3 linked regions of the Arabidopsis thaliana genome follow. The protein of the gene in region 3 purifies or fractionates together with the protein of the main gene of each other region. This does not show direct contact. Each region holds a gene or a part of one and is shown on either strand. Other genes may lie near its edges.

The links.
Region 1: the proteins of CAK4 (region 3) and IMPA-2 purify together in Arabidopsis thaliana (affinity purification with mass spectrometry, with the first as the bait; 2 studies listed by BioGRID). This does not show direct contact.
Region 2: the proteins of CAK4 (region 3) and AT4G30820 purify together in Arabidopsis thaliana (affinity purification with mass spectrometry, with the first as the bait; 2 studies listed by BioGRID). This does not show direct contact.

What each region holds. Positions count from the first base shown.
Region 1 is NC_003075.7:9,133,201-9,139,315, forward strand, and holds IMPA-2 (importin alpha), read right to left. Parts: upstream 4,216-6,115; 5' UTR 3,935-4,215; coding exon 3,710-3,934; intron 3,622-3,709; coding exon 3,433-3,621; intron 3,348-3,432; coding exon 3,216-3,347; intron 3,101-3,215; coding exon 2,915-3,100; intron 2,833-2,914; coding exon 2,669-2,832; intron 2,582-2,668; coding exon 2,503-2,581; intron 2,146-2,502; coding exon 2,017-2,145; intron 1,862-2,016; coding exon 1,734-1,861; intron 1,626-1,733; coding exon 1,250-1,625; 3' UTR 1,248-1,249; exon of another isoform or gene 1,125-1,247; 3' UTR 550-1,124; downstream 1-549.
Region 2 is NC_003075.7:15,004,680-15,009,133, reverse strand, and holds AT4G30820 (cyclin-dependent kinase-activating kinase assembly factor-related / CDK-activating kinase assembly factor-like protein), read right to left. Parts: upstream 2,641-4,454; 5' UTR 2,577-2,640; exon of another isoform or gene 2,487-2,576; 5' UTR 2,432-2,486; exon of another isoform or gene 2,028-2,431; 5' UTR 1,991-2,027; coding exon of another isoform or gene 1,948-1,990; coding exon 1,923-1,947; exon of another isoform or gene 1,641-1,922; coding exon of another isoform or gene 1,618-1,640; exon of another isoform or gene 1,533-1,617; coding exon 1,276-1,532; intron 1,135-1,275; coding exon 1,069-1,134; intron 981-1,068; coding exon 756-980; 3' UTR 510-755; downstream 1-509. Other genes in the region: scpl29 (serine carboxypeptidase-like 29), read right to left, coding at 3,117-3,305, 3,392-3,497, 3,605-3,700, 3,800-3,933, 4,008-4,271, 4,362-4,447.
Region 3 is NC_003070.9:24,892,881-24,897,879, reverse strand, and holds CAK4 (CDK-activating kinase 4), read right to left. Parts: upstream 3,358-4,999; 5' UTR 3,106-3,357; coding exon 3,004-3,105; intron 2,918-3,003; coding exon 2,619-2,917; intron 2,544-2,618; coding exon 2,435-2,543; intron 1,553-2,434; coding exon 1,427-1,552; intron 1,352-1,426; coding exon 1,116-1,351; intron 1,040-1,115; coding exon 865-1,039; 3' UTR 621-864; downstream 1-620. Other genes in the region: SGA2 (ASF1 like histone chaperone), read right to left, coding at 4,332-4,697, 4,771-4,886.

The sequences.
Region 1 (6,115 bases), on a different chromosome or scaffold from region 3:
GCGGGGACTAATAAACCCTAGATTTCTCTTTCTTAATTACTTTTTTACCCTCGAGCGCGGTGTTTTATTACTATAGAACCACCCGCCAAAAAATAAAACAACCACAAACTGAAAAAAGAAGAGGGAAAATCATTTTACAACAACAACTTGTAACAAAGATCTTGTGGAAGGGGGTTTTTTGGTATCTTGCTTGCTTTGGTACCAAATTTGAAATTTTAATTCAAAACCTGGCGCACGAAATACATTGGATTTACTCGTTGTGGTTGTTTGCCACGTTAGATTTCCCTAATTGGGCTTAGAGATATGCATGCATTTTTTACCAGTCTTTTAGATATTTTGTGTAATTCTTCACAATGAAATACGAAAAATTTATGTAATAATATTAGGTATATCGAAGACATGCTCGTGTAGTGCAACTTTTTTTGTATGAAAATTACAAAACATCTCTCTTTTTGGTCAATTTCATCTTATTTAAATTTGTGTAATCGACTTATGAATATTTGAGTTCTTTTGGGTCCAAGGCATACCTACGCTTATAAACGACAGGGATTGAACAAAACATAGGATTTTTTTATTATTGAAACCCTCCCTACTTGAAGTTGACGATAACCATTAATAACATCGATTAATGGAAATATGTTGAAACTAGATACGCGTGCATATGTAGACAATAGCCCAAAATGACTTGGACCGCACTAAAATAGATTATAAAAAAAAACATTTACTATAAACAATAAAGAGACGAACCAATTGGGCTTTTATGTCACCAATAAGACCAAATAAAGTTTGACCAACTTTTTTATGTTTGACTTTGCAGTGTTGTGTAGTACAAATGTAACAAAAACCCAGAGAGACACATTCTCATCAGATCACACTTTAAAAACTTATAAACCCTTTCCCAAAAATAAATATCCCTTGATGACTCCTACCCAACTCCCCCCCAACAAGCTTATTCCATGACTCAAACCCACCAACCACTGGATCTGACCGGACCAGGCCAGACTAAGTAAGGCACCCCATCTGACTTTTACACAGAAGACCAGACTCTCTAATCATACCCTTTTTAACCAGTGCCCCCAAACTCTTTAAGCTCCTTCGACTCTTCAAATCGTCATGTTCAGCTCCTGTGGAAGCAAAACCAGACTCACAGATTCACACAAGGTAGACACACAGGCAGATTTACTCTGTTTGCTAGTCTAGCCTTAGATGCTTAGATAAATTAGTCCCAAGTAGTGAGGTTTTTTTACCTTCACTGGAAGTTGAATCCACCTGGTGGTACGGCTGCATCATTACCTCCTCCAAACTGGAAGCCTTGTGCAGAGGGATCACCAGGTGGTAAAGTTTCATCTTCCTCTTCCAACCAGTACGTTTCAAGAATCTTCACTGCCTTCTCATAGATTTCGCTGTTGTCATGACTCTGCAGATTCTCAATCTTTTCTAATCCCTCAGCATCATCGATCAGCTGTGCATAAAAGTTTACATCCCCGGTATTTCCTGTGACCTTTTCAGCTTCCCCAACTTTCAAAATGTTCTCCAATCCTTCCAGACACACAGTGATAATCCTTGGATCAGGGCACACCAAAAGATCACACAGTGGTTTCACGACTCCCTGTTCCACCATGTACCTAAAACACACAACGGAATAACTTAATTGACTGTTTGAAAAATAACCAACAAAGATTCTAAAGGAGTTGAGATCAACAGAACATGGAGTTTATATCGGATAATCTTACTTGATTTGGTCAGGAGAACCACCTGAAGTGGCATTTGATATTGCCCACGCAGCTTCTTTCTTTATATCAAACTCCGCATTTTGAAGCAGATTGACAAGAGGGCAAATCAAACCAGCTTCACACACAGCCTGCAATACCACAACAATATTAGAGAACATAAACACACAGAACATCTTTCTTCAAACAACAAAAAGGCTTCTGAAACATGTCTTCCAACATTAGTGATTAGTTTATGAGAAACTGATAAGCTGAGCAGAAACAACAATCTTTAGCAAAAGTTCACCTGAATCTGGTCCCTGTTTCCAGCAGTGATATTTGAGATTGTCCAGCAAGCTTCCTTTTTGATGCTCTTCTTATGATTGTGAGTCAGAAGGCTCAAAAGGCTAAGAAGTGCACCATGACTAATTACACACTGTAGAACCAACCAAAAAAGAAAGCAAAATAAGTGAGGAATGGTACATGTGTGAGATTCTTAAGAGTATTATACATACTGCCTTAAATTAGTCTAACTATTCAAAAGGAATGTTAGGTATTGCATAACTAGGGTAAAAAACATGCAGGGGGGGAAATAAAATCTGGGAAGAATTGACAGTTCCCATTCTAGAGATTCATCTAGGAAGAATTTGACAAGTAACTTTTGACAACTAAATGTCATTATCAACAAACTCAGATTCAGCTTTCTAGCCAGTGTATTTCATTCTTCCCATCAGTATTGGACCATGTATCCTGAATAATATGAATGAATGACACTATAAAAGAACAAACATACCTGTGTCTGCAGATCATCTCCAGTGACAATGTTACCAATACTACGAAGGGCAGGAATAAGCACAGATGGTGATTGATGCCTACAGCAAAATAAAATTGATAATATTCATTAACACATAACATTCATTATACAAAAGCACGGTGAAATCATGGGATTTGAAACTCACTGGAGAAGCTCGACGAGTCGAGGAACAACACCTGCCTCAATGACAGATTGGATTTTGTCATTTGTGCCATCGGAAAGGTAAGAGAGAGCCCAACATGCATCCGTTAACACTTCCTCATCAGTCGAATGAATCAGGCGTTCAAGGGCTGGGAGTGCTGGACGGACCTGTTATTAAGAGATCACAAGAATTAAAAAGAAAAACTCCTTCATCTTTGGGCAGAGATTAAGATAGGAATGAGAGACAAACCTGGTCAAAGGGAGGCTGTGGCTTGCCCCTGCAGAAATTAGAGAGGGTCCAAGTAGCATTTCTCAGCATCGAGAGTTTAGCATGCTCATTCAACTGAGAGAGTAATGGTATCAAAGCTCCTTGACCAAGGACAAGATCTCTGCACCGTGGAGAATCACCAGCAACATTCCCTAATGCCCACACAGCCTTACACATGAAAAGATTAAGAAACAAACAAGCTTTAGAACATGCTTGTTCCCGAAAACAAACAAAATTGACAGTATATTGAGTCATGAGAAAAAACCATAAACACATATCTTACCTGCTCACGGACATCATCACTCTGAGAAGCCAATAGTTGAACAAAAATCGGAACAGCACCATGTTCAATGACCACCTTTGTATTCTCTGAAGTCCCAGAAGCAATGTTTGTCAATGCCCAAGCAGCCTCAAACTGAAATCACACACACACACACAAGTAATTAGTATCAGAAGACAATTCTAGCAAAATATGACAGATACATAACGATCCACCAAACCTGAAGCTGTGGATAATCCTCTCTAGTGAGAAATTCCACAAACCGAGGCACAACACCAGCATCAATCACTTCTTCAATCGGAGGACTACGCTCAATAGAAAGCAATTTCCGGAACTGAGTAGTCGCTTCAAGCTGTAAACTTCTATCATCTGACCAAACACCACCAACCATAGCAGGCAAACTCTCCAACTAGCCAAAACCAAAACCAAAATCAAAATCGAATCGATCTAAACCAATCAAATCCTAGGAAACGGTTCCAGATCGCTAGTAATATTACCTTCTTCTCAACAGTTGATGAAGCAGGAACAGGAGAAGGAGCGAATTGAGGTAGCTGATTAGCTTGAAGGCCTTCACGACGCTTCTTCTGTAAGCTTTCTTCACGCTTACTCTTACGGATCTCGACCATGTTGTCCTCTCTCCTCCGTCTTCCTTCCTCAGCATCCACCGCCACTTTGTAGCGGTTCCGGCGAACCTCAGTCTTAGCGTTAGGTCTCAAAGACATGGTGGCTAATACGAATCTCCTCTTGCTTCGTGGCGGTGAATGAAAAATGAGCCAACGAGAGTGGAGACGATGTATGTATATATATGAAAAGTGTATGTATAGAATCGGCGGATTGGTAGAGGATGATAAACCCTAAATGAAGTAGAGGGGAACGAGAAAAGAGGAAAAAAGGCACAGAGAGAAAGATTGAATTTCGTTGGTTTACAAAAACATTTTGGTAAATCTAAATTTTAAGATTCGATACAGAGACCATTAATTTACTTAAGTTGACTTGTTTATTCATTAGTCTTTTCGCACCGACTAAATTTAATTTAAAATAAAATACAGTTTTTTTTTTGGCAAAACTTGGTTTTGTGAAAGTAATTTTAAAAGTATATTATATTCGTTTAAGAAAGTTTAGAGTAGAGAACTTCGCATTTGAGTTTGACGTTGAGGAAGACGTATGAGCAATGCTCATATATTGGGGTAGATTCGTCTGTTGGAGCCATAACGATTGCAAGTACCTCTGGTAGCATTATCTAGGAGGTGAAAATCTGTTATTCTCTCTCCGTTCTTATCTGATGAAAGCTAATAACAGATTTTCACCTCAACTTTCATGGTATCAGGTCTTTCCCACAGACTATAATGAATTTTAATTTAAATGAAAAAATCGTCAGAAAAAAATACTTATGTTTTTTTAATCAAACATCTGGCTTTGTGAAATGGTGCATACGAATTTAAAAGTGTACTCGTTATAAATAAACACAATCATCATTACTTAAGACGGCTCAGCCAAGTTTGGAACTTTAAAGAGAAGGTTTTTTTAAGAAGTATACACATATATGTACGGCTGAGACATCTGATCTCTGAGGTCTTTTTAATGTCTCTTTAAAGTTAAGACTCCAGGAAAAATAATAACATGGTGATGGAGGTTGGCTTTTAGCGGAGATCGAGGACTTCATATTTGAGTTTGGCATTGAGGAAGACGTGTGAGCAATGCTCGTAGATTGGGTTACCGTCTTCTGATTCTTCGTGTGGGTGGAAGCCTCGTTGCTGGCAGTTTCGGATCACAGATACGCCTGATGGATCAGAGAGATGGAATATTCCATGAGGTGTTGATTCGTCTGTTGGTGCCATTACGATTGCCACCGCCTCCGGTAGCATTATCTGGGACAATAGATATAGATGATGGTTTTACTATAATCGCATCATAAGTGATTAACATAGAGATATTGATAAGGGGAGTTTGTTACCTGATACGAGTAGTGTGTGTGTAGATCAACTGATGACATGAAGCAAGTTTGTGTAGGGTGTGTCTGAAACCAAAATGTAAATTAGCAAGACGAATCGATAAAGCTTATCAACTAGTGGATATATGGATTCACAATTGTTCTGAGTAACGTTTTGGTAAGTCATTATCTGGAAATGGAAGATTTTTTAGTTCGGGTGAGAGAACTTACATGAATCCAACCCAAGGGAAATAGAGAGAGTCTGTCCTGTACTCGAATATTTCTTCTCGTTTAGTGTTTGGCACTGTACATTACCCAAATGATGATGAACCTAAGTGTGAGAAGCATACCAGCGAGAATTAAAAAGATTGTTATTGATGTAAATGGTTAAGAAAAATGAAGAACATACAGAATCTGAGGTAGACTCCTGCTTTGGGATTATGAGAGTAGTGATATGAAAAACCCTGTTTTTCTGTAAACATGGCAAATAGACAGAATATAAGTAATGGCGAGCTGATCATGATATTGGAATCAAAAATTATAAATGCAAAGGTTCCATCTACTCACCAGAGAACCAGCAAGTACTCCACAAGTTTCTAAATTCCGTTCTGTGTTTGACCGAGCTAGCCTTAGGAAATCATCCATTATGCGCACAGGCTTCAGCAAATTTAAATAAAGGGTGACAACATTAGTAGTAGATTAAGAAGAGGTGAAAGAGAAAGATTTCCAGAACCGATTCTAGCAAGCTTTTAAGAAGCTGTAATGGTCATGAATCCAATACTTCGATGATTTAATGTGTTGATTCTTGAACACATACCAAATAATTAGACTAATCATGGATAATTTTCTACTTGATATGCATATCCCTTCCACTTTACTCTCACAAACACTATGGAATTGGTGGAAACTGCACAAAAGTGAAAGAAGATACAGCTGGAACATACCACATGCAAATGCTGATAAGAATTGCTGC
Region 2 (4,454 bases), on a different chromosome or scaffold from region 3:
ATGTGCAACCATCCCATATCAGTTATGCTGGAAATATGATGAGCATCCTCTCTCTCTTTGCTATGAAGATAGCACTAGCACAGATGAAATCTACTGGTGCGAAATATGTGAAGAAAAAATAGATACGACAACATGGTTCTACACTTGCAACATATGTTGCACCACTATCCACCATCTATGCGTGTTTTGACTCCTCTGCTTACATAAAGTGTGGTTCCACATTCAGTTGCGATGACCTAAAAGGGGAAGTTGTTCGTAACAGTAGCCAGAGTCGATTAATTTGCAAATTATGTGGCCTGTGTTGCCGAGGTTACATATACCTCAAGTTTCCTAAGTTGAATTTTTGTTCTATGTCTTGTTTAGACGGTGCCGAATCATTTCTTGATATACTGATGGGTATGGAAACAGAGGAAAATGTTATGGCAACTGGGAACGGTGTAACTGCTAAAGATGAAACTATGTCTTTGATATGGACATCAAAATCCCTTTAAATTCAATAACTATGTCCATCCTCCTTATTTTTTGCTTCTGTTCTACCATCTGTTTCCGTCTCTCTACAATTGAACAAGTACATGTATTTTTTGCGATTTTTCTTTCGTAAATTTTGTTTTCCTTGATGCCCGTAATAGAGTCTTGTCAACTATACAAAACAAACCAGCCACAAGAGTAAAAGACAGTAAACTGAGACAACAATGGAAGCTATCAAGACCTCCTAGTCACTATCATAAGGGACAAAACTAATATCGCTTGAGAAATCAAACCCAAATGCTTGCAAATGCTTCTTCCAAAGCCCTCCTCTTGCTTATCTCTAAAGAAAATCCTCCAGCTCTCTCTGCTTTCATCCTCCTCGTCGCTTCGTCTTCCATAGCGTAATGTTGACGCTCTGCTCCACCTACTATAGGTACAGGTTGTGGGCCCATTCCCGTTGGTCGTGAAGCCTGACCATATGTAGTTCCAGCCGTGACCCCATGGTTCGACGACTACAAAATGCGTAAACAAGTAAAGAGATTTCAGCTTCGTCAGGAAACTTCATCTGCTTGTTGATATGAAAATTAAAACCCAATTTACCGTGTCAGCATCTGTCTGTGGGGGTTTGGCCTTGCAAGCTGCCAAGGCTGCAGTCAATTCTTCTGCCTGTTGGAGCAAATTGTAAATACACCAAAAGCAATTTGCACAGTGATATCATATAACCAAACATGCTTTTAATCTTCTTTCTTTTCCTCTACTCATTCATCTAACCAAGATAAGAAAAAGTAAGGCTAACGTAGGCCCTACCTTACGAGCTCTATTAATCATTATCTGTTCAGCATTCTCCTTAGAATATCTCTTAATCTTCTGCTCAATCGCCTCGACATTGATTCCATCTATCAAGTCGAATACTGGTGGAATAGAAGGTAATATATACATTGGTCTTGTCTTGCATGAATAGAGAAAATAAGGAGCACAAGTGAAACTAACCCATGCACTCCACTTCTTCCAAGTAGTCATTGTAGTCTTTAAGTGATGGAAACTCCTCTTCCCGTCTATTGTATCTGCATCACCAGAAAGAAAGAAAAAAAAACATGATACTCAAGAGGCTGAAAATACTCTGCTTCTACAGAATGAAAAAATTGATACCTTAATATAAATCTATATCTCATCTGTTAGAAACTGTGACTAAAGATCTCCATTTTATGCTAAGGTATGCTAGGAAACAATGGAGCATCTCACTGGGTCCATAGATGGGAGAATTGCTTCATTAAGTGTATGCAGTGAACAAAGTATTTTCTATAAAAATGATCAGATGTGAAATTTAGCGCTATACATGCTAAGAGTCTATACTGATCAATACGCAGTAGATTGATCAAGGGGTTTAAATATCACACCATTTGCACAGGCAAGCATGATATGCAACGAGAGAAAAAGATCAGAACGAAGAATACATCTCAGAGATTCTCCTTCTGACATGTATTTCCTTATTTTGATGGGTAGAATTAGACACCATCACCATGGTTGCTTCTGCCTGGGATTCTTGTCCTTTCCTCTACCTACAAGGTTTTAGACGTGATTTCGCAAATAAAGCTGCAGCAAATATTACACAAGTCTTATTTTTACTTTCGGCTATAGAATCTTTAGAGCTGAAAACCATTATCCCAATAGGGAAAAACACATGAACGAGAAGAAACCTACGAAGAAAACAATTCCAGATAGCGAAGAAGATAAATCTGCGGATTTTCCAAGGATTTCTGAGGAACTAAGGAAGCAAGCATAAAGCACAATGTTTATGTAGACTCATGTGTAGGATATGAATTCGACACTGAAGTACAATGTTAAGCAAGCGAGAACAGAAAGTCGCCTAAAACACGATCTGAGGAAAATAGCTAATAGCTATATGCCAATTCTTCTATTCAATAGAATGCTAAAGACCGGAGAGAAGAAAAGTGAGACTCACAGGTAGAAATAAGAAGGTGAAGAGGGACGCGCGAGAGAAGACACTGAGCCCAAACCTGAAACACCCAACCGTCCGAATCCTCATTCAAAACGTCGTAGATCTCATCTTAACCCAAACAAATAAAGGTTAAAAATGAAACCTTTACCTCAGAAATTGCAGATTCCGACCAATTGAAGTTCAATGTTCAACTCAAGACAATTCACTTCCAGAAAAAAAAAAAAAAAAACAGGTTTCTTCAATTTGAACAGACAAAGGAAGAAGAAACCCCTAATTCTTTAAAATATGGGCTTAGGTCTCATGGGCCAAGTCAAGCCCAATGCTTCTGTATAATTTCGTTTAGACCCCCAATACTAGTCTAAATTCTATTTTCTACCCCAGTATTATATCCGTTACCAGATTAATACCCAGTCCTATACATCACAGATCAGACTTCACTTTCTCATTACACAAGAATATGTTGTTGTTATTCAAGGATCGTATGGCTGACAAATGGTAGAAACTTCTTTTATTAGATTCCAAGCAGCAAATGTTTATCCAAACAAACAAACAACCAGAAGAAGAAGAAGCATTGAACGTATCACTTAAAACACTGATTTATTCTCTTTCCCTCTTCTTATTTCAACGGCCTATGTGGAAAGTTTTTGATTGAGAATCCAAATCACACATTACATCAAATCAGAACTCATTATGAGTCACTAACGAGTTCAGACATGTCGCGGCTGATGCTGTTCTCATGTGTGGACAATGGAGTTCCAGATATAAAAGCCTTGAAGAGCGCAAGAGCTTGCTTCGGTCTGTGCAAAGGAACTTCATGGCCTGCACCTCTCACTGTCACAAAGTTCAGACCAGCATACTGCTGACTCCACCCTCCCACCTGTTTCAAATCATGACTGTTTATAAGTTTTTCTTATAACATAAGAAAAGGATTCTCATTTTCTCATCTTGAGTTTTGTTTTGTACCTGTCCATCTAAGTACCAAGGACCATAGGCACTCAAAGGACGAAGGTTTAGTGCATCGATACTGTACCGGGTTGATGTGACTGGTACAACGGCATCTGCGTCCCCACTGTTACCAAAGAACAAAACCTTTTCTTTTTACCACCAAAACGCCAAAACACTTGAAGAAAAGATATCGTTAAAGTGCTTTCAGTGGATATATTTAGAGAAAGAGACCTGAAAACCCAGATACGAAGCCCAGCAGCTATAAGCTCGTGGTAAATGTTTAGAACCGAGGAAGGAGAGTCATTCCAGTGTTCACTCACGACATCACTGCATAACCAAAGCTGTCGGGATCAGAATTGTTACAATACTTAAATAGGCTCATTTCCTCCAAAACCAAGTTTCTAAGATATTGCAAGGCAATTTTACCTGCAAGTATCCCATTTTGATGGTGCAAGTCCTGGTGGGACATGGAGGGCTTTTTGAACCTCTGGAAGATTGAAATAAACTGTAGTGTGTTTCTCCGTACAAGGATCATACTGTTCGCTCACGCGGCTAGTCATCTAAGTAAAATAAACAGAGAAATTAGGACACTAAAGAGTGTAACATTGAAAAGAGAAGTTTTAAGGCCACTTACAGGTCTTTTCTTTAGCAACATATTTGACTGGGAAGCATTGGCAACACAAGCTGGGGTGAAGACACTGTATTGGTCTATGTTACCTATTTCTTTGTCCGCTATCTCCAGAATCTTGTTACACTGTTTGGAGGAGTGAATAAACGATTCGAAACCGCATTGAAGTTGCAGTAAGCTGTATGTTTGGTCAGATATAAAACCCAACGACCAAATATATTGGAAAAGACCAAGCCTGTCATGGAAATCGTCCATCAGCCCATTTCCTACCTGCATCCACACATTCATCAACATTGTTTTAGAGTTTTATAACCTTTTAGAAAATGAATCATAGGGGGATCAATAAGAGGACAGGCTCACCATGTAACCCTTCAGATTTATACTGTTTTTGTCAGAACCTTGGTTATGTTTTACAATGGCTTCACTCAGCTGAGGAATGTAATGTCCTAAAAC
Region 3 (4,999 bases):
GGCTTCTCGTTTGATATTTTTTTATGGTAACTACTTTGTAGAAAAGCATTACGAAACGCAATTCTAGAAATTAAAGTCATTACTGTATATACCTCTCCATTAGTGATTATAGTCAAGGAAAGGAAAAAAGGAAAGAGCTATATTAATGTATATGCCTGGAAGACTTGAAAATTAGATATCTATTATAGATAGTTTAATATTAGGTAAGTATGAAAGAGAAAAAAATTAAAATCATAAATTTCCTTTTTCATTTTGTTTAATTTACTAAATATGTCATTGTCTCAAAACACTATTTATTACCGGATATTTTAGACATGATACTGTTCATCAACTGCCTGAAGACACTATTCATCCGAAATTTACGACACTGTCGTATTTATCATTGGATTGCATAAAATATTTATGATTTATGTGGATAACTATTTGATTAACATGTTAACTAGTATAGTATCGTGCTAAATATATATAACTATTTGATTAATATGTTAACTAGTATAGTATCACGATAAATTTTTATATATCGTATTAAACCATTTACCATATCATACAAATTAATATGAAATAATCAATTTAACTTTATAATAACATGTTATACTGAATATAACGTGCTAACATATTAAATATCTGAATAATATTTATATTAATATGGTAAGATAGTTGATATATAGTGAAATTATAACAATAGTTGATACATGACATATTTGGTAAATTAAACAAAGTAAGAACTAAGAAGGACATTTATGGCTTTAAATTTTTTCTCTTTGATAGTTAACTAATATTGAATTATCAATGGTAAAAATCTAATTTTGAAATCTTCTGGGCATATCCATTGATATTTTCCAAAAGAAATGAAACATCATCTTCTCAAGTGAATCCTTCAGGACCCATCACTCTCCTCATTTTACCAGGAGGAGACAGTACCGCTGGGCTATTTCCATGTTGGTTTTGCTCGGAGGCCTTTGGTTCGAGTGCGTCTCCTTTGGAAGCTGGAATCTGAAGCTTCCCTGGCTCAGTTGGTGATGGAGAAGACGAGAAATACCTGATGAAAAAACCAATGATAATCAGAGTGATGAAACAGAATTTTTGTCCCGTGGGTTTCTTTTTCAAGAGTATACCTGTGGTCTAAAGCTTGTTGTATTGTGATCCTTTGACGTGGGTCGTAGATGAACATTTTTGCTAGAAGATCCAAAGCGTCATCACTTGCCATAGGGAAAATGGTACGTAATGGTGGAGCGGGTGTATAGGAGAATTCCATGTAGTCTGGGAGATAGATCATGTCAGACCATTGGGAAGGTACTGGAGTACCAAACGCTTGAAAGATCTTTCCAAGTTGATCAATCTCAGTAGAACCCTGAAGAAAGTATAGGAAATGTTTAGAGAACTACAGACTTTTTAAACATGAAGTACGAAGGGTATAGAGCATTACCGGAAGAAATGGTCTACGAAGTAGTAACTCAGCAAAAATACAGCCTGCAGCCCAAACATCAACTCCTGCTCCATACTGTCGACTCCCAAACAGTAACTCAGGCGCTCTGTACCATGTAGCAAATACCTGTGTGAATAAGTATAACCAATTTAAACTTAACGAATCTTCCACAAGCAGATACAAATAGCTAACCAAATGAGATATCTACACAAGTTACACAACCAATAAATCTCAGAATCTTTCTAAAGTAACAATGTTAATACATCCGTAAGTAACAAAACTGTATCTGGTGACTTTGAACCATCAATCTCTCATCTCACCAAAATCGAAAAACACAGGTATGCAAGAATCAAAATTAAAACCGTATGATGTCTTCTTAATACTCTGTATCAATTTTTCCATATCCAGCAAAAAGAGACTTCTACAGAACTAATCAATTGCAGAATCTTCTTGAGTCAAAATGTTAATATGACCGTAATCAACAAAATGCTATCCGGAAACTTAAACTTGTAATCACCAACCGAAACCAATAACATAGGTATGCAAGCATTCGAATTAAAAACATAGTATGTCTTCTCAATGCACTATATATACTCTTAGTTTGTCCCAGCAAAAAAAAACCAATAGATCATCAAGAACAAGACTAATCTACCTGTCAATTCAAACAAAAAATAGAAGAGATTTCTTCATAACTAATCAATCTCAGAATCTTCTAGGGTAAAAAAATGTCAATACAATCTTTCACCTCACCAAAACCAAACACACATAAAGTATGATATCTTCTCAATACTCTGTACCGACTCTTCATTTTGAGCATAAAATTCAAAATAGATCATCAAGAAGAAGTACCAAGATATTTACTACAAACTCCAGACTAATCTAGCTACCAATGCAACCATAAATATCAATAACTATATAAATACCTAACCAATAAATCCAATAAGATCATCAAGAACTACACTAACCTAGCTACCAAGCTCAAAACCGTATCAATCATAGCATCAATACCTGATGAGTAAACCTCCGATTCGGACTCCCAAACAACCTCGCCAAACCAAAATCAGCCAACTTCAACAAACCATTCTCTCCAATCAACAAATTATTCGGCTTCATATCCCTAACAACCACACCAAAAACAAACCATCAACACAATCAAAATCAAATCTTTATAAACCTAAGCATAACTTCTTACCTGTGAAGAACCCATTTCTTATGACAATAAGCTAAACCCTTCAAAGTCATCAACATATAAGACTTAATATCACCAGGAGATAAAAAGATATTACGATCACGAATCACTGCTTCTAAATCTGTTTGCATATACTCAAAAACTAGATGCAAACTTCCATCGTGAGGGAAAGCATCAATGAGTTCAACGATATGTGGATGATTCAGCTCTTTTAGTAGCTTGATTTCTCTTAAAGCTGTGAAATTTACTCCTTCCTTTTGGTTTCCTAATCTTATCTTCTTCACTGCTACAGTTTTCCCAGTCTAAGGAAATCACAAAATCGAAGATTGTTGAGTTTGAAAATCTTGATGAAATTGAAAACGAAATCGGGAAGGGTTTTTGATTTTACCTTTGTGTCGGTGGCTTTGTAAACGACACCGTATGTTCCTTCTCCGAGGATTTGACGGCGGAGGTATCTATCAACTGGTTGATTATCGCCGGATTTCGACATTGGGTTTAGATTCTCCGGTACACTTCGAGGAAGTACGAGGGCTCCTAGTGAAACACTTTTAAGAAATTGAATTCTTTGGTTTCAATTTTATACCCGTAAGATTTTGTGTTTTATGAAACGAACCTTATATTTATGAAATAATCAGAAACAGCCATATGATACTGTGGATAGCATAAATATGCTAACACTCGTGATTTGTTTGCAGGAAGTGATTCTACATGATCATCAGACCCTAGATAATTTAACCCTCCACCTCGAACTATTGATGATTAATCTTATCGAGTAGAAAATAATACACAATATAAATATCAAAGTAGCTATTTTTTACAAATTTACCATTTACCTAAAAAAAATATAAAATAATTTTACGAAATCCAAAATAATAGGTAATATAATTCTTATTCGTTATTGTCAAGTATAGGAATATATTATGTATTATTAGGTATTTAAAAACAACAATCTGTTTATTATAAAATATCGTATTTATTCAAAACATATAGGGCTTACTGGGCTTAGCCGAACACGGCTTTTATAATGTTATTGAGTTTAGTAATTAGATCTGTATTAATAAAAGTTTGAATAAAATATTTTTTAATATTTTAAAAGATATTTTCTTTTAACAAAACAAACATTTTTTTTTTTTCAAAGTAATCGAAATGGAGCCGTTTTTAACTATCTTTCGGTTTACCACAGAGTAAAATCGTTAGGCGAGAAATTGTAATGTGTACTACTTTTTTTTTTTTTTTTTTTTTGGTGAATAAATGCGGACTCATATTTTTGGCAGAACAACTGTGAAACGGTCCTAAAAAAATCACGGACTCATGTTTTTTTGGTGAAAGAATTATGGTTGATGATGATGATAATCATCATCATCAATGCTAACTATGACCATTTAACGGCACTTTTTTCAACAAATGATGAAGATCAAATGTCGCTTTGTACCTTGAGAAAATCTAGGGAAGTTATTCTACACCTATTACCAAATTCCAACCATCAGAACTCAGAATCTTGTTTGGCAACTGTTGGCTTTGCTTCGATTTAAAAAACCTTTGCCCAAAACATAAACATACAAAAATGTCAAGAATCACTTCCCTAAAGCCTCTAGAATTAAGTACAACAAACAGCATATAATGCTTTTGAAAGACAGAAAAGCAAAGCGCAACATCTGTGGAGACAATAGTTCTCAATTCTCATCCACTTTTCTTCAACTAGACTTGGTATAAGGATCATGATTCCTCAGGTTTTGGTTCTACTGACTGATCAGGTAAAACCTGAGCTTCACCATTGACATTAGGTTGTTGTTCATCAGATTGTTCAGGAGGAGCGGCAGTAGCAGCAGTCTGCTCTTCTTCTGGATGAAAATCTATAGGAAATTTAGTAACTCTAGGTTTGTCGGAAAGTATGTTCCTCTGAACTTTATCAATCAAAACCTTAGTTGGAGGCTCTTCCTTGAGTTGCTCATCCTCATAATCATTGTTCACGTAATATCCAACTCTCAAGAACTCTTGACCCATGTAAGAACATGTCAACAATAGCACAGTAACACCGATGATGTCTTCCTCCTGAATCTTTGATGGATCCGGAGGATCAGCCTGTAACAGTAGTAATAGAGAGTTAGACCAAGACTTTGTTGGTGCTTGGAAGAGGTAGTAGTGCATATGTTACCTGAAATACAAAGCGGTAGTTGCCAACATTAACAGGCCCTACAAGCACACTCTCTAGAAGTTGATCATAAGTCTCATCTTCTGCTGAGCCTACATAGATAAGCTTCCATTCCAAATCTGTACCACAAGCAAAAGCACGGGTCTATCTAAGTTATCCTCACCCTATAACAATGTTAACCAAGAACTTGTGCATAGATAAATCCAACTAATAGACAACAAGACTCTAGATT